Linked DNA regions of Schizosaccharomyces pombe. The protein of the gene in region 2 purifies or fractionates together with the protein of the main gene of each other region. This does not show direct contact. Each region holds a gene or a part of one and is shown on either strand. Other genes may lie near its edges.

Region 1 (7,312 bases), 1.0 Mb from region 2:
ATTAAACTTTTTATAGTAAACAATGACATGTATAGTAAGCTTTTATATAGTACTATAGAATTCATACGATAACACAAATAATAGATTAGAACGATGAGAAATAGATAATTAGCCCATTAAAAGATGCAAGAAAATTATGAACTTAAGGAAGCGTAAGTTTTCTTCGTCGTAGGAAGAACTGAACAATAAGTATGAGTATGCGTATGCGTATAAAGACAAGCAAAATATTATAACGTAAATGAATGAGAGTCGAACAAAATATGCTAATATAGATTATAAAAAAAATTATCCTTATGAGTAGAAGTACAGGAATTACTCAACCAATGGAGAAAATTCATAAATATGCAGTTTAAACATTGTCCTCGGAAGCATTTTCCAACATGTTTGTAACTGACTGTTTACATAGGGGACAAAGATCCGAATTTTTTAATAAATAAGGATCAATGCAAGCCGGATGAAAGATGTGATGGCATGGCAGTTCTCGATAAAGAGGACTTTCTTCTGAATACTCACACAAGCAAATAGTACACTCCCTCTGATCGAAATACTTACTCCCTCTTTCGGCTGTAGTAACCACATTTCCCTGTCCATCAAAACTTTCTGATTTGTCTAATTTCCAATCCTTTTCATAAACCAACTCATCATTAGGATTGGCAAGATGAGGCCCCGAAAACATTCTAACGGGCAAAGTATCGAGCATTTCTTTAGTAACACGATTTTCTGGTTTGTTTGGTCCAATATTCACAATTCTTTCTTGAACAGGAATTCCATGACGATTTAAGAGTCTATAAAATCCATTCATTGCACCAGAAAAGTGAAGGCAAATAAAAAGGCCTATGACACCGATTAAACCCAATAACACACCAATGAATATATAGAGGCCAAGTAGCTTTGGTTCCTTGCTGATGATAACGCCCAAACGGGCCGTAGCATCAATGTTTCCAAAATATTCGACTAATGCTCCACCATCCTGCACCGAATTTAAAGAAGAAGCCGAGTATTCGTTGAGAATCTTTTCAAAAGCGATGCCGTTTTCGTAAGATATGAGTGCCATTGGTAATGTTTCAAAGGTAATCATATCTACAGCATCTTCAAAGTGGTCAAAATTGGTTAATGAATTACTAGCAGTGCTTGCATTATAAAATAGTATTGCCTTTGCTCTATCCTGGACAGCCTGCAATACATGCATTGGAGCACAATAGTCAAACGGCGCGAATGCGATTAAGCCAGAACTTCCCATATTAGAAACATCTCTAAACCATACGCTTCCCTTGGTATCAACTTGAAGTGACTCGGTGTCATTGCAGCTACCATAAGGAGTAGTTTTATATATAATTCCACGAAAATTATTCTTCAGTTTAGACAAGCTTTTGTAATACTCATTCAAAAGGACCGTGTTGTCAGAGTGGAAGTAAAATGAGACATTTTTTGGAAGATTTGAAACAACATTCTTGTTGTTTTTAACAATAAGAGTAGTTATGGTTAGCGGAAAGAACTGATTGTATTCGACAGCATTCATAATAATAGATGAATTTCCGTAATATGAAAGACCAGAGCTAACATAATTAGATATTGCAGTATTTGGAGCATTGCTGGAATAAGCAGGGTAATAATCATCATACAAGGAGATTGAACCAGAAGTAGAGGACGACCTTGCAGAACTAGTACTAGAATCTGAATAAGATTTGGGATTTGATTCACTGGAAACAGAATCCGAGTCTGATTCACTAGAACTGGACATAGAATCTGATTCATCATGACTAGATCTTGAAGAAGAAGTGTGTTCACTAGCATGCCCACTAGTATGGCCTCTTCTTAATGATCTAAATGAATAAGAGATTGGAGTTGGCGAGATACTTTCGTCCTTTGGCATTCGATATCGCCTTCTTTCATTCCATAGTTTACGAATTGCATTAAACAGCCGCTTTCTCCTCTTTACCTTATTCTCTTGTGAAACATAGCCTCTGTAAACTGCATTGCAATCCAGATGATCAAGCAACTGGTTATTACACAGATGCATAAGAACCTAAACAAACTTTAAGGCACGAAGAAACACAAAGAACTAGGAAACAGGAGGTTTCAAGATTACCAAAAAACAAACCTGCTTTGATACCAATCTTTCTAAATAATGAATCAAATTTAATGGTAATTGAAAGGTAAGCTTTCAATCAATAAACAGACGTTGAGTGGTGATATCTCTAAAGCAGGAATTGTGGAACACAATTAATGAAATTTTTTAAAGGAAATTTCAAAAAATTAGAAAGTAAAAAGTGTGATTCTTTTAACTTATACTAGCTCAAGCTTGAAAACCACAAATTGGTGGTGGCTAAGTAATGAACATCTTGAGACATATTGCGTACATAGTACACAATACATGTGATATACATGTGGAAAGCAATTGTTATTATATTTTCACTATGAGCAGTATACTTCAGTGAAGAAGTTTTTTAATGAAGGAAAAACTATGAAACAAACAAAGCATAAAGTGCAGGGCGAGAAAAACAATCGTGAAATAAAACAGCTTATTTGTGTTTGGTGATTCGACAAGCGCTTTAAACAGGTGTGAGAAACTAAATAATAATAAATGGTAATTATAAGAAATAAAAAAACGAAGAAGTGATACTTCAAAAAGGTAAGCATAGCTGGAGAATTAATGATCAGAGAGAACTATAATAAATAAATAAAAAAAGGATCGCTTAGCGATCAATTAAACAATAAGATATCCTCCTTAAACATAAGAAGCAATTTACTAGGAATACGTTATAGGATTTAATGTTGTTTGAGTATACTTTGTAAACTAGTATAAGGATATAATTATTGTGATATGCTACCTCGTAATTTAGTATAATTTTATGGAGTTCGTTTAGTACAGCGGTTACATATTTGTTTAAGAAGGCTAAGATATAATATACTATATAATTTTATATTTTACTGTATTAACTTACAACTGAACTAGGAAAGGGTAGTTTGTTCGGTTGAGATATTTCTTCAATAATTGTATTTTCCTAAAGATGTTTTACTCGTCCTGATCATTAAAGATCAGTAGTATGGATCCGACAGTTTTGAAATGAAAATAACAATAATTAGTAGTGATATCTAATGTAGCTTTGATCTGGCTTAGCAATACATTATTGGTAAAGTATGGGGAAATGGATTATGTAGTTTGTTATGAGAAATAAAAAATGTGCACCAAATTAATCTCAAATATCCTTTCTTTGCGTAGTAAATTTTTTTATTTGTTTTAAACACATATTAACTGGAAGTCATGTTTGCGCAAACTTTAAAATGCTCATCTCAGCAAATGAATAACATTGTAGTTTGAGAATAATAATTACTTTTGAATACATATGTTCAAGTCCAAGAAGGCTGCCATTCAACTCTAAACTGAACATTTGCTTATAGAAGCAAAAATTGTAGTAGATACCAACTTCGCTCCGAACTCTATATAATACCGATTTTAAACAACACTTTTTACCAGAAGTTAATTAATCTTATATATTAATTTCTATTATTCAACTAGCATTATTCCAAGAATTGGAATTATTTACTTTTCGATCTTAGCCCTTATATACGTAAATAACAATGCTACTTTACCACGAATACAGAATATAGTCCACCTCCACCATCCCTATTTTAGTTGGCCTAGTGGTTTCTTGAAACACTGGATTAAAGTATTAAAAGTTAAGTCCATAAGCTAGGGAAATAAATTTCCTATTATTTCCAATAAGTCGAACGATAAATCAAGGAACCACGGATTTGAATCAAGTTGCAGAAAGACATTCTTTGCTTTACAACATCGGTCAAATAAAGAAAGAATGAGTGACATTAACAATAATGAGCCAGCTGAAAATATTGAACAGCCCAAGCAAGAACCAGAAGATGGAAATAATTCGATGAGTGTTGATGAACAACCCGAAACGTCTTCCACAAATCTGCCAACTGGTGACAATCTCGCCCCAATGAGTGTAGAATCCCCTGCACATTTAAATAACGAGGATTCTCCCAAAAGCGATGATTCTAGAGAAAGGCATGGCTCGAATTATGTTATAGAACCGCATTTAGAATTGCGAGATATGGCCAAAGACAAAACACTTGAAAATTTCTTGGCCCAAATGGATGATTACTCTCCCTTAATTCCAGATGTGTTATTGGATTATTACCTCAGTTTATCTGGATTTAAATGTGTTGACCCACGCTTAAAAAAGCTTCTTGGTCTTACAGCTCAAAAATTTATTTCTGATGTTGCTCAAGACGCCTATCAATATTCTAAAATCCGAACCGGTAGTAGCAATGCATCTTCAACTACGTTTGGTGCGCAGAATTTTGGAGCCGGAGGCGCTTCCGGGATTGGATCTAGCGGAAGAAGAGGTGACCGTGGAAAAACCGTGCTCACTGTAGATGACTTAAGTGCCGCTCTTAATGAATATGGAATTAATTTGAAAAGGCCCGATTTCTTCCGTTAAAGACTTTTTATCCCACTAAGGCCACTTGTGTGAGACCCTTACTTAATGCATTAGTGGAACTTTGTTTCTGAAATCTCATTTTCCTATAAAATTTTTGTTTACTAATTGTTGTTAATTCTAACCTTTTACACTTTTTTGAAATTATTATGTATTTTGAAGATAGCACATTCGGTTTGGCGTGGCATTGTTGATGATCATAATTTCAAAACATTTTCTCATATCGATCCATTTCAGCAGTAGTTTTCATATGAGGGATTATTTATCTTTATATTTTATAAAATTTATCATATGTATCATAGTTACTATTTTCTCGCTATCACTTGCTGAATTTGTTTTACACTGATACTCTCATTCAACATTGATGTAGTAAATGTTTTCTTCGTTATGCTACTATCTGCATTTTGAAAAGCACTTCTGAAAGTGTCAATTACGCGGTCGACAGCTGCCTCATAGTATGTCAGAACCTAACATGCTTCTAATTATAATATGCATTGTATATAAAGTAAAAATTAATATAATTACAGTTACCAGTACTCTTTCAAATAATGTAATGCTTGAAACCTTAAACAAATACAGACTTCTCAAGAAAAATCACTGCCTTCATCTGGCAAAGGAAGATTATCAGTTCCTACAAGCAAACATCTTGTTTTGATTGTAGGAAGGAAAGTACTTGGTATTCCTCTTTTAATTAAGTCTAATATTACCCAAAATTAAATAAATTGATTATAATAAATTATAGTTTATCCTATTCAAAGGATCCATTCTGTTTATTTAAACATTATAGCGCTGATAGTTCAAAAGTAAATGGTAACGTTGGTAGGACGCGCTTGACATTCTGTGTTGAAAATGGAAATACCATTAGAGGTAGAATTTGCCCGAATCGGTGAATTCAAATAAGCCTGTAACTCGCAAAGTCCATCAGAAGTTCCACTAGGTCCATACCCACAATCGATAAGGGGATAAACTTGCTGGTTGACGAGATGCCGTACATAATATTTGCTGTCAGAACAAAAGAACAACTCAGTAATTAAATTTCCAGCGAAGGGAACGAATGAAGAAGTTTTCTGGGAGTATGTATAAATGTTTTTATCAGTCGGCAAAGGATTTTGCGGAGTAATGTCAGGAAAGAATCCCAAAGCAGCTTCCACAGGAATGATATTAGAATCATGAGTAAATGCTAAAAATACTTTACGATCGAAGTCGGGATTAGTCACATTACGAAGTGAGTCTGCAAGATTATTTATATAGGCCCCACCTAAGGTTGAAGCCCATTCGGAAACAGGACCACCTCCATATGCCTGATCGAGATCTGAGTCATATTCAAAGTTCAAAAATTCTGATGGGGTAAATATGGAACAAAAATCACTGTGATCTTTTATAGCAATTTCATATTCGCAGATATAAAAGAGACTACGAACGTCATTGATCGTAAGTTTATAACTGCTGTCAAAATATTTAGCCAAACGATTCACAATGGGCTCAATAAAAATATTGCGCCATACAGCATGGGCAGCATCAGTTGCATTTTTATGAAAGTTATTATCTTTAAACACGGGACATGCGTTGTACATGGATAAGGAGTTGGCACCTGCTGCCTTACCTTCAGAAATAAGGATAAAATTGGTTTTTTCGTACATTTTATCACCAAATAATCCATAAGTAAACCATTTTGCAGATTCAACAACACGTTCCTGTTCAGCCGTATTTATGTCGTAAACGTATGAATCAAAAAGTTTATAGTAACGCTGGTATAGCTGACGACCCAAGTCGAAAAGTTCGAGACGACCACGGCTGGAAAGTTGATCGGCATTTTCTGCATCTATTACAGGAGTCCACTGCTTAATAAAACATAAGGGATTCTCGGGGTAGCTGAAGTTTACGGGTATTGAGCCGTTTAAAAGCTTTTCCTGAAAATTATTTAAATATTGTGAACTATATACATCAGTGGCAGTTACATCGCCCGTTGGGTTTCTGGAACCGTGACGTTGAAGAAGATGAACTTGTTGGATCTCACAGGTTTCAGGGAAAGCAGAATCAAGACCATCAAAGTAGGGCTCATGATAAGGACTTAATGTTCCGAGATGTTCCTTGAAGAAAAAATTGCTTTCATAATCCTCAAACTGAACATTATCGGCATTGACGATGAACGCAGCTAAGAACCAGAGAGAAATGATACACAACTGCATCACGAAAATATATCAGCCAAACGAGTAAAAGGCCTTCTTAATTATTCGATTAGTAAAGCAGAGCTTTTGAGGAAGAAAAATTAAAGGATCAAAGTAAGAAATTGATTAAAACGAGTGACAGTCCATTCAACCAACAAACTGCTGGTCAATTGAGGTTAGGAGCGACTTTGAAGGATTAATTGAAAGGTAACCATTAAAAGATACAACGTAATGGTCCTATACGTGTAATTCGTGTATCTGCCAACAAAAGCTGGTAGCTTCCACTAAATTGAAATCTGCTGCCGATGCCGTTCCAGTGAAAACGTAAAACATCATGGCAGACGCGAACTGTTAATGTACGTTACAGTCAATACGGATACAAATAACGAGTTTCGACTAAACATTTTAACACGTATAAGAATTTCGATGTTAAAGTTATTTATAGATGTGCATGAGCGCGGTATTTCCTCCTGAAGCATATTATCTTATAAAGAAACATATATATTGCGCTTATTGTTATTCTTATACGCAAAGTATCTATTAATATTTTTAAATACAAATTAGGTCAATAAAGTCCGACTGAAGGAGTAATTTATGTTTTTAACAGTGCTTCTCTAGGTTTAATATTACTTAAATCACCTATAGCTGTAAAAAGGTAATAAATGACCTTTTGGAAGAATACTT
Region 2 (9,846 bases):
GTATCGAATACCCTGATACTCTTTCGTGTAATGTCATTTTCTCGGGAAACGAAAGGAAAGCGTACAAACTGATAGATGAAAAGTTGCTTCAATATTTTTCAACTAAAACTAAAAATAGTCTGCTTATTATTGAAAGTTCACTCCCTCACATATTGAAGGCAAATGTGAAGCAAATTGAAGAGCTTCCGTATATAATGATACCACGGCTTGAGAGCAACATACAGTCTCTTTCTTGGAAACAACACATTGCTACGAAAATGATCCAACATTTCTTAGCTATTGGTAGCTGGCTTTTCCATCGCATACAACTTTCTCGCTTCTCAGATATCCCATTATGCAACTTTGAAAGCGATGACATTCAGTACAGTATCGATGTTGTTTACTCTAGAAAGCTGAAAGAACATAATATTATCCTTTGGTGGAATAAAGGCCCAACTCCAGACTTAGGTGGTATTGAGAAGGATAGTATTCTGCAGATTGCCAGTCCCAAAGATCCACTAGAAGTTAACAATCCTGGTGCTTATTCAAATGCTTGTGTTGACATTTCTCTTTCCAACCTTGCACTTTGTAGCATTCTCAATTCTGCTCTCATAAATGACATAGAAGGTATTGGCGACATGGCAGCTTTGAATGATAATTACATGACCGCCATAAATGATGATCTGGAGGAAAAGTTGGGAATACATGATAATATTGGACTGACACATTCATTGCCGGTGTTGAAGGCGTTGGTTAAAACTTGGTGGAACGAAGCTGCATCCGGTAATAATCTCGCTGATCTTATAATTCAACATTTAGCCCGATGGATTTCTTCATCAAAATCTTATCTGTACAGTCCTTTACTCTCCTCGCACGTGGAAGTTATAATGAGAAAAACTTTTTTACAACTTCTCTCTGAGATAAAACGCCTTGGAGCACATATCATACACGCTTCTGCTAATAAAATATTAATCAAAACGAGCAAATTAATCGTCCAGAACGCTGTCACTTATTCAAATTATTTACTCAAATCCATTAAGACGTTACCACTATTTCACTTTTTGGATCTAAATGTCACGGAATACTGGGATTATCTTTTATGGATGGATTCCGTTAATTATGGAGGAAAAATGGTGGCAGCAAATTTTTCAGCTACAAATGAAGAACCACAGACAGTTGTTTCATGGCACATTAAAAGTCATTTACCTCCAATCATTCAGCCCGAATTTCAGAGTTGGATTGTTGAGTTTATTGAAGAGGTTTATAAGCAAAAATTAGAAAAGTCTAATACAAAAGTTGGGTTTGTTCGCGTGAAAAACAACAATGCTGATGAGGACTCTGAAATAGTTGGATCGGGAATTTTAAAAAGTAAGTTGATACATCCTCTTAAACGGAAAGTTGCTCAAGTAAGGAGATGTTTTCAAGAGCTTCAGCTTGATGAAAATACCAGAGAAGATCTTAAATTTCCAAAGTTGCCAGGTTCTTTTCTTAACTATACTGATGGCGCTCTAGAATTGGTTAAAAGCATCTGTGCTGTTTTTGAACTCTCCCATGATCTCAATTTGGAGGTCCGTTTTTTAAAAAAGAGTTTATTGTCACTTTTACAAATTCAAGAGTTTTCCACTCAGGCGGTATTTCGATATCCTAGTCGTCGACTTTCACTTGATCAAATACCCTGTAAGCAGTGTGGCGTCCATCAGGATTTTGACCTTTGTTTACATGAGCATCTATGGCCTACTCGCGATGACATGGGGACCTTGGTGTTTTCTGACGGATGGTCTTGTTCCAGCTGTAACTTAGTTTACGATCGATGGGTGTTTGAGGAAACTTTGGTGGATAACTTATACCATCAATTGACATTATATCAACTGCAAGATTTGATTTGTTCTAAATGTAAGACAGTTAAGCAATGGTCATTAAAGGAACGCTGTTCATGCAGCGGAGAATGGGTATTACAGCTTTCACCTACAAAGTTTCGTGAAATGTTAAACGTTTATCAATCTGTTGCTGATTTTTACGAGTTTTCTATATTGCAAAATTCTGTTCAGTCCATACTTTCTGTGCTGAACTAACATTTCTCGCCTGACCATGAGCATGAGTTTGGCTTTTTTGTCTTTATATGTATTTTATAAGTTATTTTGATTTTATCTGCTGCTGGTCATATTTATTTATTTTTATATAGCAGCATATATGTTTTTAATAAAGCATCTCTCTTTTGATAATTACGCATCCTAAATGCTTTTTTGGAAGATATTGTACATTCTTTCGATAATTTACCATTTTTCCACTCATGCTCTTAAACGTTCGAATAAATATTATAAATTCAGTTAGTAAATCACGTACAAATGCACACAGTTACTGTAGTTTAATAATAATTTTTTGTTTACAAGTTTAGTGGATCCTAACGATAATTCTTTATAACACGCCAAATGAGTCACCTAAAACTGTAACTTCATTTTTGCCAAGCACCAAATACAAGTGAATTTGGGTATTTGAAATAGAATGTCGCTTGGAGGTCCTCAAATTCCTGTCATTGGTAAGTTTGTATGCAGATGAAAGTATCTCTAATCGTTTGCAGTACTGAAGGAAGGTACGGATGATTCCCAAGGACGGGGTCAACTGCTTTCGAACATCAATGCTTGTGTCGCTGTACAAGACACGATCCGAACCACTCTCGGTCCATTGGGCGCTGATAAGTTAATGGTTGACGATAGAGGAGAAGTTGTAATTTCAAATGATGGCGCAACTATTATGAAACTCTTGGACATTGTCCATCCTGCTGCAAAAACGCTAGTTGATATTGCCAGAGCCCAAGATGCGGAAGTCGGTGATGGTACTACTTCGGTCGTTGTATTCGCTGGCGAATTATTGAGAGAAGCGAGAACATTTGTTGAAGATGGAGTTAGTTCACATCTTATTATAAGAGGTTATCGTAAAGCTGCCCAGTTGGCTGTGAATAAGATTAAAGAGATTGCTATTCACTTGGATTTATCGGACGAAGGGTAAGACTTTTAATTTATAGAATTTTTATCTGGGCATTGCTTAACTAGCTTGCTTAGAATAAGTTTTGTAAAGTTTATTATTGGTGCTTTTCGCTATACTTTTTTTATTACTTATTAGAAGGATTTTTAGTTATTTTATATTTGTTCAGTTTACTAATACTTTACAGAAAATTACGAGATCTGTTAACAAAATGCGCATCTACTGCAATGAACTCAAAGCTTATTCGTTCGAATTCTACTTTTTTTACAAAGATGGTAGTTGATGCTGTTTTGACATTAGATCAAGAAGACTTGAATGAAAACATGATTGGTATTAAAAAAGTCCCTGGAGGAGCAATGGAGGATTCACTTCTTGTTAAGGGCGTTGCATTTAAAAAGACATTTTCGTATGCTGGTTTTGAACAACAGCCAAAATTCTTCAAGAATCCCAAAATTCTTTGTTTGGACGTTGAGTTGGAATTAAAGGCCGAGAAAGACAATGCTGAAGTTCGCGTTGATAAAGTTCAAGAATACCAGAATATCGTCGATGCTGAATGGCGTATCATTTTTTCCAAACTTGAAGCGATTGTCGCTACTGGTGCGAAAGTTGTTTTGTCAAAATTGCCCATCGGTGATTTGGCCACCCAATATTTCGCGGATCGTGACATTTTTTGTGCTGGAAGGGTTGCTGCAGATGATTTAAATCGTGTGGTACAAGCAGTTGGCGGCTCCATCCAGTCTACCTGCTCAAATATTGAGGAGAAGCACCTAGGTACTTGTGATACTTTTGAGGAGCGTCAAATCGGTGGTGATCGTTTCAATCTATTTGAAGGTTGTCCCAAGGCCAAGACTTGCACTCTTATTCTTCGTGGCGGTGCTGATCAGTTTATTGCAGAGGTGGAACGCTCGTTACATGATGCTATTATGATTGTTAAACATGCGTTAAAAAATAACTTAGTAGTCGCTGGCGGTGGTGCTTGTGAGATGGAGTTATCTAAATATCTCCGTGATTATTCTCTTACTATATCTGGTAAACAACAGAATTTTATAGCTGCCTTTGCTCGCTCGTTGGAAGTAATCCCTCGTCAGCTGTGTGATAATGCAGGATTCGATTCAACAAATATTTTGAATAAACTCCGTATGCAACATGCCAAGGGTGAAATGTGGGCTGGTGTAGATATGGATAGCGAAGGGGTCGCAAACAATTTTGAGAAGTTTGTTTGGGAGCCTAGCACCGTCAAATCAAATGCCATATTATCAGCAACTGAGGCAGCTACTCTAATTCTGTCCGTTGACGAGACTATTAAAAATGAACCTTCACAGCAACCTCAAGCTCCACAGGGTGCGTTACCTCCTGGCGCTGCTAATAGGATTATGCGTGGTAGAGGTCGAGGAATGCCCCGCTAATAAATTTTCTAGGATTGTATTCTATCTAGATAAAATCAATTAAATCACTTTTTGTTTTGGTTGGACAATTCGTTTTGAATTTCTACCTATAAACAGGGCGTAATGTACTTATTGGTTCTAAATTAGCTATTTTATCTTTATGAGCGCTAGCTACGACTTACAATATTGTTCTGCATCGCGGATTATTTTCTTGTCACTTCACTCACTTTTGCGATATTATATGAACAGTGATTACTAAAAGTTACTAAATTGTTTCATAATTTATAAGGATTTATATGTGATACTTTGATACCTTCCAAATATCTTTTTTTAAGTTCGAAAACTTATAGTAGTATACTGGTATGAAATGGTAAACAGAACATATATTGCTTCATTTCTATCGTTATTTTCAATTGTTACAGTACGTTAAACATATTTCAGGAAATCGCTGTGTATCCATATCCGACGCTAGCGAAACAAACGAGTATGAAACCTTCACATATCTCAAGTGTTATTTTTTATCCATTGTGGTTGTTAATTTAATTTATCACGCGTCATTTATGAACTATTATACATAGGGAAGGAGAATTTGAATGGAGACTAATTTCGAAGATTCAAAGTCGTTGGATGAGCCTGTTCTTCATGACATTGCAATCGCGCTGCTTAAAAATGATTATTGGAGCCTTTATTTGTCCCCAGAACAAAAAAGGAAGTATATTTCTATACTAAATGACACTCTTCTATGGAACCGATTCATTAATGTAATAGAATGGGATAAGTTGTGCGATGAAAAAGACTCGAATGGCAGTAACGATGATGAGGAAGACGATTTAGATATTACTACTTTGTTTCGCTGTCGTTGTATGATATTTGACGCTAAAATAAATCCAGCTTTATTTGATTTAAGTTCCACAAGTTCTGGATCTATTGAGCATGTTGATCATCAAAACATATCCTTAGAAGCTTCGTTGGCCGAGGAAGAAGAAAGAAAGAAGGGAGATGCCAAAAAGTCTGAAGCAACTGGAAGACAACTATTTGATGATGATGATTTTGATGAATCTGATGCCGAAGACTCGTCTAAAGCTACCATTACTCTGGATCTTCAAAAGGATAAATCATTACGAAAAAGCATTATAGATTTGAAATCTGTCGATATAGATGATATGGGTAAGTCATCCCTTAAGTATTCTTATATACTAACATTTTAGATACTTCTGGTTTTGCAGCCATCGAATCAAATAAGGCACTCAGCAATATTAGTTTCAACTATGTGTACTATACTTTAGAAAATGACTCTGAAAATATCAATGAAGTGAAAAAATTTGAAGATGAGGAAGACACATCAACCCCTAATACATCCAGCTTTCAAAACAATTCATCCTCTCTTGATTTATCTGATAATTTATCGGTACGTTATGAAACTTATCAGTTATTTTAATTCCTTTTAATTAACAAAATTTAGCTTAATTCAAAGTTTGGATCACTTACCTCGTCATTTAAGGTATACTTTTAATCACTTTCTAATCTTGTTGTCAACCAAAACTAATACTTAGTATCTACTGCAATATTTGGAGGGAAATAGAAGTAAAATAAATGCCACCGATGCTGATGTGAAGCAATTGTTATCCGATGTTAAAAAAAATAAATCAAAATGGGTATTTAAGTTTTATTTTTTTGCTTGTATTAATGTTTTCTAGGCGAATGATCAAAGAATTGGTCAAGAAGAGCTTTATGAAGCAGCAGAAAAAGTGGTCCTGGAACTTAGATCATATACGGAGCATTCTTTGGCTTTTCTAACCAAGGTCAGCAAAAGAGATGCACCTGATTATTATACTGGTAAGAGTGATTCTAATAACTCTAAAATTCTCATTAACATTTTGTAGTAATTAAGGAGCCGATGGACCTTGGTACCATTTTAAGGAACTTAAAAAATTTACATTATAATAGCAAAAAAGAATTCGTTCATGATTTAATGCTAATTTGGTCGAACTGCTTTTTGTATAATTCACATCCCGACCACCCTTTGCGCGTACATGCCCAGTTTATGAAAGACAAGTCTTTGGAATTAATAAACCTCATTCCTGATATAGTAATACAATCTCGTAAGGATTACGATGATAGTTTAATTGAAGCAGAGCTTGAAAGCGATGAAGAATCAACAGCGGAGACATCAAAACATGTCACTTCTAAAAAGACATCTTCTAGGGGCGGACAAACGCAACAAGCTGTTGAAGTTCATACTGATGCAAATAGCCCCGAAGAAAACAATACTCCTGTTACAAAGAAAGAAGTTGAGACCTCTAAACCTCCTGCTGTTAGCGGTTCAACACCTCCTGTCAATGAAGCGGCCGTTATAGAGAGTTCTAACACTTTAGAAAAAGAACCTTTGTCTGACGTTGCTACTGAATATTGGAAAATCAAAACAAAGGATATTCGTGAAAGCCATATCTTAAATAATCGGCGGATTTTAAAAAGTTTACAATTTATTGAGACTGAACTACCTATGATTCGGAAGCCAACAGCAATGTCAGCTTTTATAGATCGAGAAGTTGCTTATGGAAGTATAGATTGTTTACCTATGGATAAAGGTGATTTTGAACCAATAATGAAATTAGATACTACCCCATTACTTGAGTATGATGTGGGTTCAGGCGTTCCGATGACCGCTGGTAGCGTCTTGGAGACTGAAAGTGAAGAAGACTTATACTTTAGGGACTACTCTCTTTTTGAAATTAATCGCAACACACCTGGTGTACCTTCGTTGATGTACAAAAATATTGCTAAAATGCAAGAAATTCGGAAATTATGTAATAAAATCCAAACAGTTCGCCAGTTACAGCTTCCTCAGCCATTTTATTATGAACATCATAAAAGTCATGTCCCGTTTGCTAACAATGAACCCATCCTTTTGGATATCCCACAAAATTACGATAACATGTCCTCCTTTAAACCATTGGCGCACGATGTATTAAAAAAGCTTTGTACCATTATATTATTCCATGCTGGATTTGAGTCGTTTCAAATGGGAGCACTGGATGCTTTGACCGAAATAGCGGCTGATTACATGGCAAAAATGGGTGCTGTCATGGACCAGTATCTCATTTATGGGAAAGACAAATCTCAACAGGTATTTAATTACGTTATGCAGTTATATTGACCAATTTAGGAAATTGTTGGACAAACCCTAGGGGAATTAGGTGTTGACGATGTGAATGATTTAATTTCATATGTGTATCATGATGTAGAGCGCCAAAGCGTGAAGTTGCTAGAAATACATCAGCGTCTTCAAAGGCATTTTGTTGAGTTATTGGTATGCGAATTTCCTTATTAAGTAGTGTTACTAACCGGATTAGCGTCCTGCACTTTCTGAGCGCAATGATGAAGAAGCGATATTTAACCAAAATGGAGAGTCGTTTGTAACGGGAAATTTTTCGTATGAGACTGGTGATGATTTCTTTGGTCTACGGGAACTTGGTTTAGATAGAGAACTTGGCTTAGATTCACTATCGGTTCCATTGCATTTATTACAAAGCAGATTGAGGTCGAATATGAGTTGGCAACCCGAAGCGTATGTTTATAATATCTTTGAAAGATTTGATACTAATTCATTCAGAACGATAAAGGGTGACCAAGAGTACGCTCCACCTCCAAAATATCCTCCCATCACCGCCGAAAGTATTTCTAACGAAATCGGGTTGATTCAAGGATTTTTAAAGAAGAATCTAGAGGAATTCGGTTTGGATGAGTTGTTGGAAGATGAAGACATAAGGCCAAGGAGCAAACCTCCGCGACCGCGTCTACCTCCGAACGGAAAGATTACCACTGGGAGAAAGCGAATTGCTTCGTCAGTTTTTTTAAATCAATCCTTGAGAAAAAAGCGCTGCCTAAAGGAGAATGAGCAAGGTACTGAGGTAACTACTCTTCCTGAAGAATAGGCCATATGTATTTATTTATAACGTCAAAAACAACTAGTATATAGATGTGTATCAACCACAATGGAGACATAACTTTTAAAACATAATTTTTACTTTAAAAAAGTTTAAAGTTTCTTTTAGTAATAATTATAATGGTTCTAGTTTTGGTTTGGCTTTATGTCTGATGTGTTCTTTAGTAATTATTAATGTCTGAAAAATCGGGGTCCGAATGGCAATTTGAATTTGCAAAATAAAGATATAATATCACTAACATATAACTATTTATTAATTACTCTAGCAACACATTTAACCTAATTATGAGTGCATTGTCCGAAATATTAAGTTACCTAATTATTTCATTTGAGACGAGTTTTACCTTTCACCTTGAAGTATCACATACTGAAATGGGAAAGCGCGAGAACGCTCATAACAGCAGTGAGCGACCTTTTAAAAAGGAAAGGAATCTTTATCAAACAAAGCTAACTATTAAGTATAGTTTAAGTACAAAAGAACAGGGATTGAAAAAAATGAAAGTGGTGTTTTAGTTACTGTTCCTCGCGGTAAAGAAAGACAATCATCGTCTGAGATTCTTGATGTTTTTACTCAGGTATGCAAGACATTTGTCAGGTTAAGGATGCGTAAACTGATGATTAATAGCATATAGCTACTCTTTGGCCAGAAACTCAATCTAGTGATCAAGAAAACGAAGAAGAAGGCGAGGAATTAGAAGATGCAGTTGCTAAGGAGATTAATAGTCTCCAAAAAAAGAACAAAAAAGAACTGTTAACCCCAATTATGCTAGATATGCCTTGTGGTAGGTGCATAAACAGTATAATTTTAGAAGTTTAAGATGTTTATTCGTATTTGAATTATTATGACCGTTTATTAATTTTTTGAAGTTTACTTTGTAAAAACAAGGCCACCAATTGATCCAGTGCGTCTTGTAGAGTTTACTTGTGAAGTTGGGAAAACCAAAAAAATGACTCGATATACACAACGATTGATACCGATTGTAAGAACAACTGGCGTTTCCCTGGATGATCTCGAGGAGCTTGCTAAAAGTCTGATTGACCCGTTATTTCATGAAGGCCAGGAAGGGATTAAGGTAAGTTAGCAATAATATATGGCTTTAGCATACAATAGGCTAACTCCAGGAGTTCGCTGTTCAAGCCAATATCCGAAATCATACAGTCCTAAAAAAAGATGATATATATCGCACTGTTGCTAGAATCGTTGGAAAGCAACATATGGTAGATTTGAAGAACTTTAAATTGCTTATTTTAGTCCAAGTGATTAAGGTACGTTTCATTGCTTGCAACGAATTGCATTTAACAATCCTTTTAAATTTAGAATATAATTGGCATAAGTATTGTACAAAATTTCGAAGAGTTGAGACGCTTCAATTTGAATGAAGTATATAAACAACCGGAGAATACCAAGTCGATCCCTAATGATTCTAAGTTAGACAACTTCGATCGCGATAAGAATCAAATAATAAATGATAAGGCCGAACATGCTGAGTAAGAGAGCTCTACATATTAACCGAGGCACCGGGATCATCGTTTATGTTAGAGAATTTTAATTTG
Region 3 (7,806 bases), 320 kb from region 2:
TATACTTTCAGTGCTTGATTTTTCCTGGTGTTGGAAACTTTGGTTTCGTATGCGATTCCTTAGCAAAGCAAGGATTTTTAGAACCCTTGCGTCGCTATGCTTTGTCTGGCAAACCTTTTATGGCTGTATGCGTTGGAATCCAAGCATTATTCGAGGGGTCTGTTGAAGCACCACATTCTAAAGGGTTGGGCGTATTTCCGGGGTTAGTCCAAAGGTTTGACAACGATGACAAGACCGTCCCTCATATTGGTTGGAATTCTTGTGCTGTACGATCTGACACTTCAAAAGAGTTTTTTGGTATGCGCCCACATGACAAATTTTATTTTGTGCACTCTTATATGATTCCAGAAAAGGGACTTATCCTTCCTCCAGAGTTCAAAATTGCTACCACGAAATATGGAAATGAAACCTTTGTAGGTGCTATTGTAAAGAATAATTTTTTAGCTACCCAATTTCATCCGGAAAAAAGTGGATCTGCAGGTTTGCGTTGTTTAAAGGCATTTTTAACCGGTAATTATGAGCAACCTATAAGTGGTGAAGCATCTAAACTTATAGAGAACTCCTTTGGCGGATTAACAAAGCGTATTATTGCTTGCTTAGATGTCCGTTCCAACGACGCTGGTGACCTTGTAGTTACAAAAGGTGATCAATATGATGTCCGTGAAAAATCTTCTGGAAGCGAGGTTAGAAATCTTGGAAAACCTGTGGAGTTATGTCAAAGATATTTTCAAGAAGGCGCTGACGAAGTCGTTTTTTTGAACATCACTTCATTTAGAAATTGTCCAATGGCCGATGCACCTATGTTACAGGTTTTAGAAAAGGCAGCTCAAACAGTATTTGTACCTTTAACAGTAGGTGGTGGAATCAGAGATGTATCAGATCCTGATGGGACTTTTCATCCTGCTGTCGAAGTTGCTGGTATTTACTTTAGATCAGGTGCCGACAAAGTATCTATTGGAAGTGACGCCGTTTATGCCGCAGAAAAGTATTACGAAAATGGGAAGAAATTGAGTGGAAAAACTGCTATAGAAACAATTTCTAAGGCCTATGGTAATCAGGCAGTTGTTATTTCGGTTGATCCTAAACGTCAGTATGTAAAAGTTCCTGAAGATACTAAACACCATGTTGTGAAAACATCTCGGCTTGGACCTAATGGAGAAGCATATTGTTGGTATCAGTGCACCGTTAAAGGAGGTCGTGAATATCGTGATATTGATGTTGTTGAACTTACTCGTGCTTGTGAAGCAATGGGTGCTGGTGAAGTACTATTAAATTGTATGGATCAAGACGGTTCAAATGCTGGGTATGACATAGAACTTGTTCGTCTTGTTAAAAACTCTGTGAATATTCCAGTAATAGCTTCAAGTGGTGCTGGTATTCCCCAACATTTTGAAGAAGTATTTAAAGAAACGGATTGTGATGCAGCTCTTGCCGCCGGAATTTTTCATCGACAAACTTGTCGCATAGAAGACGTCAAAGAATATCTGGCAATACACGACGTTCTGGTTCGCACTTAGCTAGCGAAGTCCGTCTGAATTACGATAAAAAAATATTTGTATCTAATTCCTTCCCCTTTTAGCACTAAATTAGATGTCAATAGTGCACTGAAATTGCATATGCCAATAAAATTTGTTTTGGATAATATAAATTTTTATCCAGATTATTAAAACTATCTGACATAGAGTAGTATTTATTACTTTATGTAATATTTACTCAGCAGAATTTTTGCATATCCTCTTACGTCTTTATCGACTAAAATTATAAAACAACTGTACAAGATGGCCAGTGAGGGCGCGGACAGGAAGTATACCAAAAAGGGGACTTTAGATTCTCTCCAATGTTTTACGAGGAAGCTGCTTATAATAGACAAAAGAATTGAAAGAGCTAGCAAAAAAGGCCTAGGAAGAGACCTCGGGAGACTAAAATCTTTATAATTGTGAAGAATAAACCGTAAGGCAAAACATATCCTCAGTGATAAATTTAATATATTTGCAAGGATTAATCCATGAGAGCCTAAATTAAACCATGATAGAAGGAATTTTCCAGTAATAAAATAAAATACAGCGGAAGCCAAATAACACTTCCCTTGATCATACAACTGAGAAGAGTTGGCTGCTGAAACATAAAATGCTTCCAACACGCCGTTTGCAGCCATAAACGGAATATACATTGCGTACCAAGATAAAATGCTAGAGCTATCAGGAGAAGCCCACTTACTTCCTGCGCCAAACAAAAGAACAATGTCCGAGTAATTACTTCCAAAAAGGATAAACAAACTCATATAAGAATATAATTTTAAAATCCATGCCAACAAATTTAAAGCCTTTTTTTCATCTTTTTTGTTCTTATAATGCGTTAACTGAGCAAAAACAATGTGAGAATGGTCCTCTACTGGTCGAAACACGATTCTCGCCAATAAAGAACCATAATTGGAAGCTAGCGCATACGGACCTTGAGCAGAAGGAGAAGCATACCATGCTACCATTATCTTATCGCCCTTTGTGATTAGGTGTTTTAACAACACTTGATAAGTATGTGAACAGATTATTCGAAGAGTAGAACTATCCCAAAATATATACCTCTCGTTTTCTCCCACTTTGTGGAGAAATATGGAGAATGGCTGTTTAGCAAAATACCTTAAAGTAAAAAAAATGGTTACTTTTTCTGACAAGTTACCGAGGGCAAAAGGAAGACTTGACGGTGCCTTATTCCTTCCTAAAACAGAAATTGCAAAGGACAATAAAGAGCAAATAATTGTTCCAAGTCCTTCTGCTGAAGCAGTCTTGGAGAACTTCTGGCGCCATTGAAGAACTTCATAGTATGGTTCAGATAGCAACTCAATGAAACTAGAAACGGTGTAAATAAAAATACATGTTTTAGAATAAGGAAAATTAGGAAGTGAATAGAAGTAAAATAAAGAAACCAGAAGCGATATTACGATACCAATGTAAACACTGATCAAAGAAGTATTCTTGATCAATTGCAACTGATCACTTAATTTTTTTGATTTGTTTGACTCAGTAGAAGTAGAGGTAATTATTGCATTTTCCGAAGGAATTCTTTGCATAGCTAATCGAACCGACTCCCTGCTGAGGAAAAGGATCGTACTCTGTAATATCTCAAAATGAATAGAAGAAAATGCATAGGCGCTAGGACTAGTTAACCGAATGGTCAGTTGGTTTAAGAAGAAAGTCAATATTCTCGAACTTCCTTGAAAAAATATGGAGGAGCGCAGTCCCTTCGAGGACGACTGCAGCAAAGAATCAGATTTATCCATTAGCTAGTTGGTACTGATCTAGATTCAAAGAATTATACTACAAGTCAATAGTTGTTTACCTCTTTCTTCCATTAATGTCCCAACTTTTTTTATGTAATTCGTATTCTAACTTATAAATGAGATATTTACTTGGTGGATTTGGCGCATAAATGGGTGTCTCTTGAGCGCGCAGTTAACTTTTCAGGACACATTACTAACATAGAGCATTAAGGAATTCTACAATATACTTGAGTTAACGAAGTAGAGTTGCCATGTTTAACCCGCCGGCTATACAGCCATATTTGTATTAAAGATGCGTTAAAGTACAGTAAGCTTCTACTGCTTGTAATTCATATGCTGTTAATACCAGGTTACCTTAAACTTCCATAAGTATAATAATCACAAACCCATTTCACGACTGATTTTAAGGACGTAGGTACAATTAAAATTCGTTTTCCTATTTTATAATTTTGTGGTTAGATAATTAATAGTAAATCAGATACTCAAGAATATACAGATGATTATTACTGTATACTAAAATTTTTTTAGGCTGAAGAGTGTTTGATGTTTAGTGAAGCGTACCGTAAATTAAGCATTGCTGGCATGTAATAACTTGGACTACTTCTAGTTTAAGGCATCATTCTACTAAGTCTGAAAGTTTTTTGTTTGAAACTCATTAAGAACCTTTGTAGACAACTTTCTATTAAAAAAAATAGGTTCTTTATTTGTACTTAGCTTTACTTTTGCATCTGCTTTTTAGCTACAAGTTTGAACAATTTACTTGTGTTTTACACCAATACTGGGACTTATGCGATTAAGCTTTCTATTTTAATTCTGCTATTATTTTTTTTTGTCATAAACTTATTTTGATGACCTTGATGATTAAATTGTACTAGAAAAATGACAGAAGGAGTTACTGTACAAAAAGTTCAAAGCGCTAGCTCGAATGGGCACAAACCCAACACAGTAATTTCGCAAATAATCTCAGAGATGCAATCACTTTTGGGTAGCAGTTTCGAGGTGTATACTAAAACAATGACGGACTTCTTAATTGGACAGTTGAGCAGAAAGGAAATGAAGTCGATGCTGTTAACTTTCGCTGGAAAATCAAATTTTGGTAAGATATAAATTTTTATTTAATATTGTTCTGACACTTTAGATAAACTACACAATTCAATCATTTTTCATATTCTCAAATTGATGCAAAAAAATAATGATACCTTTAGTGCTCTACATCATTTACCTTGGTTTAAACGGAAGAAAGTCGATAATAGTTTATTTTTACATAAAAAAATTAGTTCGCAGAATGCACAGGTTCGATTAATCAAGCGAATAGTAATGTCTTTAAGTTATAAAGACCGGGCTAGGATCAAAACTGCTTTAAAAGTAGGCTTTATTATAAGTCTTTTTTATCACCTTTCTAACAAACATATCTAGGAAAAGCCAGTTACACCAAGTTTGATCTCAGGATTGCTGCTGGAAACGAGAATTGCAAAATTACCTAAAATTCCTGTATCCCGAGACAAGCTGAATTCAGGTAAGCCTATTCTTTAATAGGTTCTAAGGAAGTATTCAAAAGTGTAACCATTTAATTTTTATTAACGGAAATTTCCTTTTAACCACAATTTGGGTAATATTTTCACTAACCTCATTAGTATTTGTAAATGATATTAAAGCCGGCTATGTTGCACCTCTAGCATGTGAAACACTTGAACTTCCAGATTCAGAATCGTTAAAAGAACGAATTACAGCTATTTCTCTTGAAAATGGCTTATTGGGTGGTGTACAAAAGGGTGTGTCTGATATTATATTGGCTGGGTTAGAAAGCCATCTAAAGAACATTCTAAGCAGATGCTTTTCTATATTAAACAAAAATATTCGACAAAAAAATACTGAAAATGATGCGGCAGGTTTTACCATTAATGACCTTAATCTAGCATGGACTATTGAACCTCATGCTTTTGTCGAACAGTATCCACAGAAGTTAAGAATGCCGTTTTTGCTTCATGATAGTTATACTGAAGATGAAATTTCAATTTGTGCAGAATCGCCAAGCTACATGCTTGCAAGCAATGATGCGCAAAGTGATAGGAATTCTGTTGCTTCCCTTTTAGATGAAGTGCTTTCATAACCGCGGAGGTTCTTTTTTTTTTAATCTAATCGTCAGAAGTGCTTTATTTATTTACAATCTTAAAAGCTTCAAGGGCTATTCTTCAAGCGTTTCAGCTCGCAAATATACAAGACTTGATTATCCTTTTAAGTTAGATTTTTTTCACATATTTTTTTTTTTTAATTTATAGTAATGAATTTAATATATAACAGGTTGCGAAATATGTAAGATGAAGCAATATAGATATTCTAAAATACGTAATTATCCAGCAAGATTTACCGACAGAATACTATTATTGTTCAAGATTTGCTAAAATATAGTATTAGTAAAAACTGTTTAAATACGATCATCAGTATCCATATCGATGCCAGCATAAGGCGTCCGGAAATCCTGTTGTCTATTACTGAAACTTTCACTTTCGCCAACAGCTTCGTCAACAGAAATGCGCTCATCGTCCATCTTCTTTAAAGATGTTTCTTTCATTGTAACGTCCTCATGAGTAGTTTTCTCATTTTTACCGTCCTCCGAATAAGATCTACTAGTAGCCATCTCTAAGGTGGCATTGTCCATAGCTTTGCGGTCGTCAGGATCTTCCCAAAATCTGCGGTTACCCTTAAAGAGGCGACGTACCCATTGAGGCAATAAACCCCCCTCGACACGCCATGTCCAAGCTTCTTTTTGATTATAGTCAGCCGGTACAAGTCTACCGCGTGACATTTTGTCAATAGCATAAATAATGGAGTTTAGTAGAGCGTAGCAAATAATACCGGCAATCAAGCCATACGCAATCGAGTAGGTAAATGGCATCAAAGCAATTGTAATAAAAGCAGGAATGGAGTCACCAAGGTAACTCCAGTTAATCAATGTAGTACTCTTCATCATCATACTGCCGACAAGTACTAATGTAGAACCGGTAGCCCAGACTGGAATACTTGAAAAAATAGGAGCAAAGAAAAGAGAAATGAAAAAGCAAATGCCTACAACCATACCTAAAATCCCTGTTCTACCGCCAGCCGAAATACCAGACCCGGATTCAATAAAAGCAGTAACAGGTGAGCAACCAAAAAGTGACCCAATAGAAATACTTAAAGCATCGACGATGTAAGCAACTGCGGATCCTTCAAAGTCTTGAGTACGAGGATCGACCAAACCAGCATAGTTAGCCATTGAGTAAAGTGTACCAGTCATATCCATAATGTCAACGTACAGAAAAGTAATCAGTGCAATGGCAAATTGACCGCCTGTAACGTTCCACTGTTGGGCAACAAGAATACGGTTAATTTTTCGAAAGCTAACAACCTTTTTGAAAAAATCAAAATTATAATCCCCTGTAAGCGTGTGGGGAAACATAGTTACTAATGAGCGTCTAGGCCAACTTGTGATAGTGACAAGTGCGATTCCAGCAAGGACAGCACCTTTAAATTTGTACATCATTAAAATAGCAGTGAGAACACCGCCACAGAATATACCTACCCACATTCTTCCTGATTGTAATTGATGACCGTTGCAGCTATAATCAGCGTTTAGGTATTCTGGAGGGCATCCTCCTAAAGCGACAATATCAGATGAGGAATGCCCAATGACTCCTAACCCAGCACTTGGACTGAGTCCGATAATTGTGAGATACAAACCAATACCAGCACCAGTAGCAAATTTCAAAGAGGCAGGAATAACTCGCGCCAGCCATTGGCGTAGACCTATAACAGTTAAACCAGTAAAGATGAATCCTTCAACAAAAACAGCTAAAAGAGCTTCTCGATAGGAAACACGTCCAGTGCCATTATATCCGACAACTTGGTACGCAAAATAAGCATTTAAACCCATACCAGGGGCCATACCCACGGGCATATTGGCAAAAAGACCCATGCAGAAAGAAGCGAGAGCAGAAATGGCAGCGGTGGCTGTGACGAGATCACGATGAAAGTCTTCTTTGCAAAGTACATAGTCATCAAGTTTGTCACAATCATCACGATTAGCTTCAGTACATTCGCAAGTGCCGCCCGTATCTACGAGAATGGTAGCATTGACAGCCAAAATGTAAGCCATTGCAAAAAAGGTAGTAAGACCAGCACTAATTTCGAGAGAAAAGCGACTGCCTTTACGCTCCCGAGGATGACCACATCCCTCTAGACGAAACCAACGTCCGAATGCCGAACGAGCGACGATCACGTCGAACTCTTCGACCCAATTCCTTACTTTTTGTGTGATGCTCATCTTCTCGATAAACTAAGGAAAAAAAGAAAAGAGGATTGAAATATTAAAACAATAAAAACGAGAATACTTATAATATATGTATATATATTACACTAGGTATCCAAATAACCTGCCGAGGATAAATAAAACACAACAAATCAACGGAAAGATCCGTGTTAATGCTAAGCAAAAAGCCCTTTTCACAAAAATAGATTACTTATTAAAGATACAAATATTAGAGAAATCC
Region 4 (7,386 bases), on a different chromosome or scaffold from region 2:
GAACGGATTCATCTGACCGCCCAATTGAACCTTTAAAAATCATTAAAGCTGTTGCACTTTAAATTATTCTTTAAAGGATATTCAAAGGTTTTAATCTATAAGTCTTTTTTCGATTTTTCAACACATCCTGAAGATATTGACTAAAGTTATTTGTCACGGATATTAAAAGCTAAATTAATAGTTGATAAAGAGAAGCATTTCCTTACAAAAGGTGGACTTTTTAATTGAAGTCAAATTTTACAAGTCAAGTGGAATAACATAAGCTTCTAAGAAGGAATTAACTAGTTTTCTAGCTTAAGAAATTGGAGATGGATTTTGTTACGCATATCAACCTAGTTGTTTGACCATAAACGATTGAACAAAAACCTTTTACAACGTTAGCATTGCTTCCGGTACTTTTCTCCTTATCAAAAATTTTACAATTGTATTTTTTTCTTAATTAGAAGATTAAAGCTCGGGCCAAATATACAACTACAAGAGTTTATTGGACTAGATTACTCAAATACTATTGCTTCAGTTTTTTTGTTACAACGTGGGATGTTATTTTAAAAAAAATTCAGAATCAAAATAAAGTCCAATGCATAAAAACGGCATGAATCCTTCTCTTTTTTATTTAATTCTTCTTTTAATTGTTTACGCCAATTTGTGTGATCCATAATTAGCAAATTATTTTACGTGTTTTAACGTATTACGTTATAATTGTAATTAAGCAAATAAATGATATTTGTCAATTGAAGGTTCGAATGTAGTGGTCACGGAATACTCACAAGCATGATAATAATGTTTTTTAAGGTCCTAATATATCTAATTGACCTTTCACAGCTAGACATATCAACATATGACCAAAACTTAGCTTCATTCCTCAAGCGGGAAACATTCATTAACTGAAATTGTCCATGAGAAAGACTTTTTCTATTGAAAGATAAGTTTGAAAAGGCTACAAACTTTAAATACTTTTAATAAAGTAATTTTATTAACTAACTATTCCTTTGCTTACTTATAGATTTAAGATACTAAGCCACAGTTACGCAAAATTGGATAATGAACTTTAGTGACATAGGTTTTACACTGAGTAGTTGACTTTGGAGCGTGTTATTTACATGCAATTTCCTAACACGTTTCGCCTGGAGCATGGCACTTTTAAAAACGATGCCAATCATAAGGTCTCTAACGCGTGGAAAATCGATTAGATTACTTCAAAAACAATCAACGAAAAGAACTAATCCGTGCGTCTATTTAGAAGCAAAAGCTGTTGAACAAACACCGGCTACTGAGTTTAACAGTATACTTCAGGAAATAATTTCGACAGAATACAATTACTCTGTTGATTTAAAGAAAACATTAAATGTAACGATTACTATAGCAAATATTATGCTCGTGTTTACTAGTTTGTGATTACTTACATTTTAGGAAATTATAATGCCAATCGAAGGCCAAAGTATGGAAAGGGAGGCGATTGGAATTTGCACGTGCTTTAAGACTTTAAATCAGTTACACACGAAGTTATATCAACAAATGATTTCCAGTGGCTCTCCAGTATATTCATTGTCGCAATCTTTACCCGCTTTTCGTGATGTTTACCACATGTATACCATCAATTTAAGTGGAATATCTGCCATTGAAAAAATAATTTCTGATCCTTCTTCGTGCAACAGTCAGCTTTTAATTCCATTGCAACACTTGTTGAGATATCCTATACATTTAGCACGTGTTTGTAAAATGTTACGGAAATATCCATTTTTGAATGGAGATTTTCGGATGGCGGTCAAAACACTTGACGATTTTCGAGAGTTATGTTCTTATATAGACCAAGAAAAAGCCCGCGAGGAAAGTTATCAAGTACTTAGTGCACTGTGTGGAAACCAGGGTGTTGCGGTGGACATTCCAAGGCATATAAAATTTAAAGGGTCAGTTATTCCAGCTACTTCATTTATTTATGATTTTAATGCCTGCGTCTTTTGCGACGATGGATTGGTTGTTTGGACGAGGTATGTTAAAAAAATCGAAATGAAGGCCGTTTCGATAGAACAATGTCTTCGAGTAGATGAACTTTCAAACTCTATTTTAGTTTGTACTTTAAATATGAAGGGGAAGCTTTTAAACCGTCATTTGGCACCTCAAACTATGGCTGCTTCTGTTTTTCTTAAGTGGTATCATGAAAGAGCTGGTATCTCAAATGGCAAAGAAAATAAATTAAACCGATTGAAAGTTGTCAATGCTAAAACATAAACTAATTTCTTTCTTTTTCTTTTTTTAATATTAAACGATATTTTTTTTCTATTATTCACTCGTTACCTAAAATTTGCTGAACATAATGACAAATATGTTAAACCAAAATTTATTGTCAACTTACTTCTTCATTCTTGTTATCCTTGTCTTACCAACTTTGAAAGATATTTTCCTCAATTAAAAATTTACTTCTCACCTTCGTTACCTTAATATGGGCATTATTATTAACCAAATAGTTTAAATAATATCTTTATCCTTTAATAATATTTATTGGTAATTCTTGTTTACAATTCCTCGTCTTTTTATTGAAGTGAGAGTCTACTATATATGAGTTTAATAACTAGCTACACAAGTTAGCAAAATAATATTGTAGTTCGTCTTACTGGGAAAGACATACATGTGCATAATGAGAATAAACCTTAAAACAAGCAACAAATAAAACTAGTCCTCTTCGTCTGCATTGTCATCTTCGAAAAGAGTTGAGTACGAGGTAGCGTTTGAAAGTGACCTGCCTTTACATTTCTCTAAATGTGCAGCATATCGAGACGCAGCTATTTCACGCTTGCACATTAAACAAGAATAATAAGGGACATTTGAAGGAGTTTGGACGCTATTACCATATATATCGTAGCCTGGCTTGGTACAATACTGCCGACAATGCTTGTTACAGGCCGGACATTTTTGAAGAGATAATTTAGCATTCTTGTGGACTGTTTGGGTCAATTCATGGGTGTAGTCTTTCAACAAATTCTCAAATATAGTGCAAGACTGATTGAAATTTGAAGTTAGTGAAAAAGTTGTACAAGTGTTAAATTCAGCCACCTATTGACAATTGTTTTTCTATTAATCTTCCTTTTGTCTTTAAAGTACTACAATTTGACATGTTAAATAAACCGCGATCGATTAAATGATACATGCTTTCATAAACAAGCAAATCTTTTTTTGGCGAGGAAGTTTAATTTTGAAAGGAAAAACAATTACACATAGAGAAATCAGGTACTTACAATACCGGCAAGAGAAGCAGGCTGCATCTTTAAACCATTCTTTGGGAATCAAAAGTTGAGTATTCCAAGCAAGTTAGTATTGTTACAAAGCCGGTGATTCCAAAATTTCAAACAATGAGGAAAAAGATGCAACTGATCCGTATGGGAAATTGAGATTTACAGAACGGAAGTGCTTCAAATTGATGTCTTTATTATAAAAATTATTAGGCTCAAATACTTGGTGTTACATCTTTAGCTTGCGTAGGAGCTGACTTTATTTGCTAATAGTGAGTGTTGATATAATTTGCTAATTTCATACTTCTCTGACTCCAAGAGCAATGCAAAATACACACGCTCATGAAATAAAATATCAGTAATCCACTTGCGCAATTGGAAAAAACAACGCCTACAACATAGTACCTAAGTTTCTCCCTTTTACAATTCATCAAATCATACATTCTTCAGCTCGACTAAGGATAAATTGTATTCATTAAATACATAAAATGTTAAAAGTCATAAAATAATTCGCTAGTAAATTAAGCAAAAGGCTAAACTGTATGCCGGGATGCCATCAATCTCAAATGATTTAAATAATACAATACAGGCAAGGATATTAGAAGTAGTTTTTGATTATAGACAAAGTGTTTGTTACCAAAAAAGAGCCAAATTTAGATATGGCATTTTGGCAACCCGAGCAATAAATAAAGACATAGCTTCGAATGATGAAAAATGAAGGATATACAAGCGAAATGCCGAAGAAAAAAAGAAATAGACACAAACAAAAAGGCGATGCGATGTTGGGGTAACTACGATTGAATCGACACATCGTCATTATTGGCATTAGAGGGTGGGATATTTAAATTTCTGGTTGAGATATTGGATAACGAGGATGAGTAGTTGGGTACTGAAGAAAGAGCTCGTTGCACACTTGAATTTGACCTTTGACCATTAAGGGAAGATATCGGAACAGATTGTGTAGATACTGGAGATTCATTTGGAGCATTATTGAAAAGCCACAAATATATTTTCCCATCTTCAGACCCACTGACTACCTCACAGTCTCCAAGAGCAACCGAGGTTACAGGCTCCGAGTGATTCTTCAACGTGTGAACACATTCACAAGCCTCCCAAACTTTAACAACACCATCATGAGCTCCCGAGATTAAACGAAGGTGATCTGCCGCAATTTCCCATACACCTTCAATGTGTCCAAACAATGTATGAACACATTTTTTCTTCTCGATGTCCCATTGCTTTATTGTGCCGTCCAATGAGCAAGAAAACAATCGCGAATCAGCAAGAGCTAAACTCTGGACAGGGCCAATATGAGCACTGAAAGTATGAAGACACGTGTTTGTTTCCAAAGACCAAATCTTGATGGTGGAATCGTCGGAACCGGAAAGAACAAGTCCACGATCTCTAATTATGCGGACAGAATTGACAGGTCCTGTGTGACCGCGTAAAGTGATACGCTTACCGCCAGAAAAGTGCCACAGCTTAACTGTACAATCTGCGCTTCCAGAAACAAGTAGCGTAGAGTCAAACGTTAAGCATAAAACACTATCCGTATGACCATGTAAAATAGAAATGCATTCAGAGGTTCTGTAGTTCCATATACGAATAGTTTTGTCCATTGAACCGCTGATAAGTTTACACTGATCGAATTGAAGGCACGTAACACCACTGCTATGACCTTCTAATAGAGCAACTTGTTGAAAGGTAGCAAGATTCCATAATCGTATAGTGGCATCATAACTGCCGCTAGCAAGAATGTTCCTTACAAGTTGTAGACACATAACACCGTCAGAGTGGCCACTGAGAACAACCTGGCGACAACGACCATGCCGCCAGTTGCATTCAACTCTACAACGTTCAGCATATACTTCTTTCCATGGTCTGGTTTTAAAGGGAAGAAAGAATTTGGAATCGGAGTTCGGAGAAGGTGGTTTGACAGAAGAAATAGTCTCTTCATTACTCGACGTCGGATAATCGTCCAGCTTTGCTTTTTTGACGGGTGAAGATTCATGAGCCTGATCGACGCCTCTTTTTGTAAGTCGTTCATAACGTTTTTGTATGGAAGCCTTTGCTGCGTATAAGGTATTTCTTTCGAGTAACGGAAGTCCCCAGCCGCATTTTTCACATTTTCGATTAATATGTTGTTCACACATCCGATGCCATATAACATCATCATCAGCAAGTTCTTTCCAATGTTTACTGACTTGTGCAGCTTGGCAAAGGCTTCTAGCATCCAAAAAAGATAAAATGCGAAACGAAATTTCAACAGGGAGCAAAGAGAGAAAATCTAAGCGTACTAGAGAATCTAATGTGCTGGAGGCAAAAGAGAGAAGAGAGGACGAACAGTTGTTTAAAATGCCTTGCAAAGCGAGTTTACGTTCGCTGCAAGAAGCCTCTGAAAAAGCAGCCCATACAGCTTCGACACGTTGACGACTTTTTTCGCTTAAACCAGACAATTCATTATGCATTGAAGAAATATTAAAAGCCGAAACGGAGATGGATTGATCACCTTCTTTTTTTTCCAGTAAATGGCGTTGCCATAGCTCTGCTCGTGGTGCAAGATTATCAGAGGGTTCGGAAGTGGGAACAGATTCATAACCTGTAGTCATTTTTTTTATAAAGGTTAAATATTAAGTATGAAAAGAAAGAAGGGACAATGCAAAGGTTGATTTTAGGGTAAAAAAAAATAGAGTGGATAATAGCACAAAAAAATGTTATCACGGATGATGCGGGTAGATGTTAACAGAATGAAACCAGAAATGATTTGGATAAGATGATAGTAGTATAAAAGACTATAGTAATACAAAAAAAAAGGAGAAAACTATATGAAGATTGTAATAATTATGATAAGCGGGGAAAGTCAACTATCGAACCTTACAAAGTAATTTGTAAGTAAATCGAAAATTTAAAGTGCTAGCTGATAGAAATATATGGAAACAAGAAAAAAAATTTAAAAAGAGACACAAACTATGTAAAAGATAAACGAAAAAGAAACTAGAAGATCAAATATAAAATACACACAAACTCGTTGCTTTGGCAACCTTCAGTAAAAAGATGAAGAGTTGAGGTAGAACCAAGATTTTAATGATTCAAAAAACTCCAATAATACTCTTTATCCAACCACTTGATTATTCCAAATATGTGTATTTTCTTGAGGTGGCTTTCGATGAGGTTAAGGAGGAGAGGATATAATATAGAGAGGATTGTGAGGCCTAAAGACTAATAATCACCTAATGAATTTGAGATTTTGAGTAGAATTGCGAGATGTTAAGCGAATCTCAAAATTACGAATCCGAAGATAATGTGGATAAAACAAATTGCAAAGATGTCGTTCTATTCGTCTCAGTATATATATGTGCGTAGATCATTAAAAATCTGTCCACTTCTCAGTTAATGCAATTGATTTCGATTAACCAACTATTGCGCAATCTGCCACTCATATTGAAAATTTTTACTGATCTGCAAACGTTTAACAGCTATTTTCCACTAGATTAATAAAAAATAGCCAATCCTCACAAGTCGCACCTTTTTCGGGGATCGGGGGAAATGTCGCTGAAGGTGTGAAAATGCAAATTTTCTCGGATGTCAACAGTTTAATCAGTCGCTTCAAAGTTTGTATATTTCTTAATTTTGGTGAATTTCCTCCATATTTCTTCACTTTGTATGGCGGCAATGGAGCCGTAATGCTAAGCAAATCGTAATTGAGTTTGTAATAGCTAGCATCAGTTTAAACTCGAATGAATTAAGTAACCGCTTATATATTCATAAAAACTTCTAAGTAATTGAGCTAGGTGCGTTTATAGGGATGATTATTCGCTCAGAAAATGATTAAAACACTGCTCAACTTGTTCACCTATATATAGTTGTCGTAAACAAAGCTAAATCGATGATTTATTACAAGAAGAAAGAATACATGATTTTCGGTTAATCACATAACATGAACAATATTGAAGAAGGAAATAGCGATTTATTGAGCCGCTGTTTTTTTCATGAATACCGGTTAACATAGATTTTTAAGTATAAATAAAAGGATAATGACTAGCGGTTTCATTGTTCATCTTTGATTGAATATTGTTAATGTCACGTACGCGTGAAATATATAAAGTCGCCGAGGAATATGCATATAGTCTGCATATACATTATTTTGAGAACATATATT

The links.
Region 1: the proteins of spt7 (region 2) and taf10 purify together in Schizosaccharomyces pombe (affinity purification with mass spectrometry, with the first as the bait; one study listed by BioGRID). This does not show direct contact.
Region 3: the proteins of spt7 (region 2) and hfi1 purify together in Schizosaccharomyces pombe (affinity purification with mass spectrometry; 2 studies listed by BioGRID). This does not show direct contact.
Region 4: the proteins of spt7 (region 2) and sgf11 purify together in Schizosaccharomyces pombe (affinity purification with mass spectrometry, with the first as the bait; one study listed by BioGRID). This does not show direct contact.

What each region holds. Positions count from the first base shown.
Region 1 is NC_003423.3:2,251,387-2,258,698, forward strand, and holds taf10 (SAGA complex/transcription factor TFIID complex subunit Taf10), read left to right. Parts: upstream 1-3,615; 5' UTR 3,616-3,815; coding exon 3,816-4,463; 3' UTR 4,464-4,840; downstream 4,841-7,312. Other genes in the region: SPOM_SPBC15C4.06C (ubiquitin-protein ligase E3), read right to left, coding at 350-2,020; SPOM_SPBC21H7.03C (multiple inositol polyphosphate phosphatase), read right to left, coding at 5,258-6,649. UniProt on the Schizosaccharomyces pombe protein: Functions as a component of both the DNA-binding general transcription initiation factor complex TFIID and the transcription coactivator SAGA complex.
Region 2 is NC_003423.3:3,258,438-3,268,283, forward strand, and holds spt7 (SAGA complex bromodomain subunit Spt7), read left to right. Parts: upstream 1-4,832; 5' UTR 4,833-4,939; coding exon 4,940-5,513; intron 5,514-5,554; coding exon 5,555-5,754; intron 5,755-5,808; coding exon 5,809-5,847; intron 5,848-5,899; coding exon 5,900-6,001; intron 6,002-6,043; coding exon 6,044-6,182; intron 6,183-6,229; coding exon 6,230-7,473; exon of another isoform or gene 7,474-7,512; coding exon 7,513-7,656; exon of another isoform or gene 7,657-7,699; coding exon 7,700-7,914; exon of another isoform or gene 7,915-7,959; coding exon 7,960-8,281; 3' UTR 8,282-8,438; downstream 8,439-9,846. Other genes in the region: cdc20 (DNA polymerase epsilon catalytic subunit Pol2), read left to right, coding at 1-2,051; chaperonin-containing T-complex eta subunit Cct7, read left to right, coding at 2,482-2,515, 2,558-2,981, 3,149-4,367; tan1 (tRNA acetyltransferase), read left to right, coding at 8,578-8,649, 8,757-8,867, 8,918-9,074, 9,160-9,365, 9,415-9,558, 9,611-9,784. UniProt on the Schizosaccharomyces pombe protein: Essential scaffold subunit of the transcription coactivator SAGA complex. SAGA acts as a general cofactor required for essentially all RNA polymerase II transcription.
Region 3 is NC_003423.3:3,575,806-3,583,611, reverse strand, and holds hfi1 (SAGA complex subunit Hfi1/Ada1), read left to right. Parts: upstream 1-3,892; 5' UTR 3,893-4,156; coding exon 4,157-4,373; intron 4,374-4,415; coding exon 4,416-4,642; intron 4,643-4,693; coding exon 4,694-4,793; intron 4,794-4,911; coding exon 4,912-5,387; 3' UTR 5,388-5,579; downstream 5,580-7,806. Other genes in the region: his4 (imidazoleglycerol-phosphate synthase), read left to right, coding at 12-1,517; Man5GlcNac2-PP-Dol translocation protein Rft1, read right to left, coding at 1,694-3,277; SPOM_SPBC887.17 (transmembrane transporter), read right to left, coding at 5,703-7,580. UniProt on the Schizosaccharomyces pombe protein: Component of the transcription coactivator SAGA complex. SAGA acts as a general cofactor required for essentially all RNA polymerase II transcription. At the promoters, SAGA is required for transcription pre-initiation complex (PIC) recruitment.
Region 4 is NC_003424.3:1,369,048-1,376,433, forward strand, and holds sgf11 (SAGA complex deubiquitinating submodule subunit Sgf11), read right to left. Parts: upstream 3,424-7,386; 5' UTR 3,261-3,423; coding exon 3,234-3,260; exon of another isoform or gene 2,998-3,233; coding exon 2,671-2,997; 3' UTR 2,627-2,670; exon of another isoform or gene 2,574-2,626; 3' UTR 2,431-2,573; downstream 1-2,430. Other genes in the region: cyclophilin family peptidyl-prolyl cis-trans isomerase Cyp1, read left to right, coding at 1-62; mug10 (Rho guanine nucleotide exchange factor), read left to right, coding at 1,132-1,347, 1,411-2,229; F-box/WD repeat-containing protein Pof1, read right to left, coding at 4,019-5,836.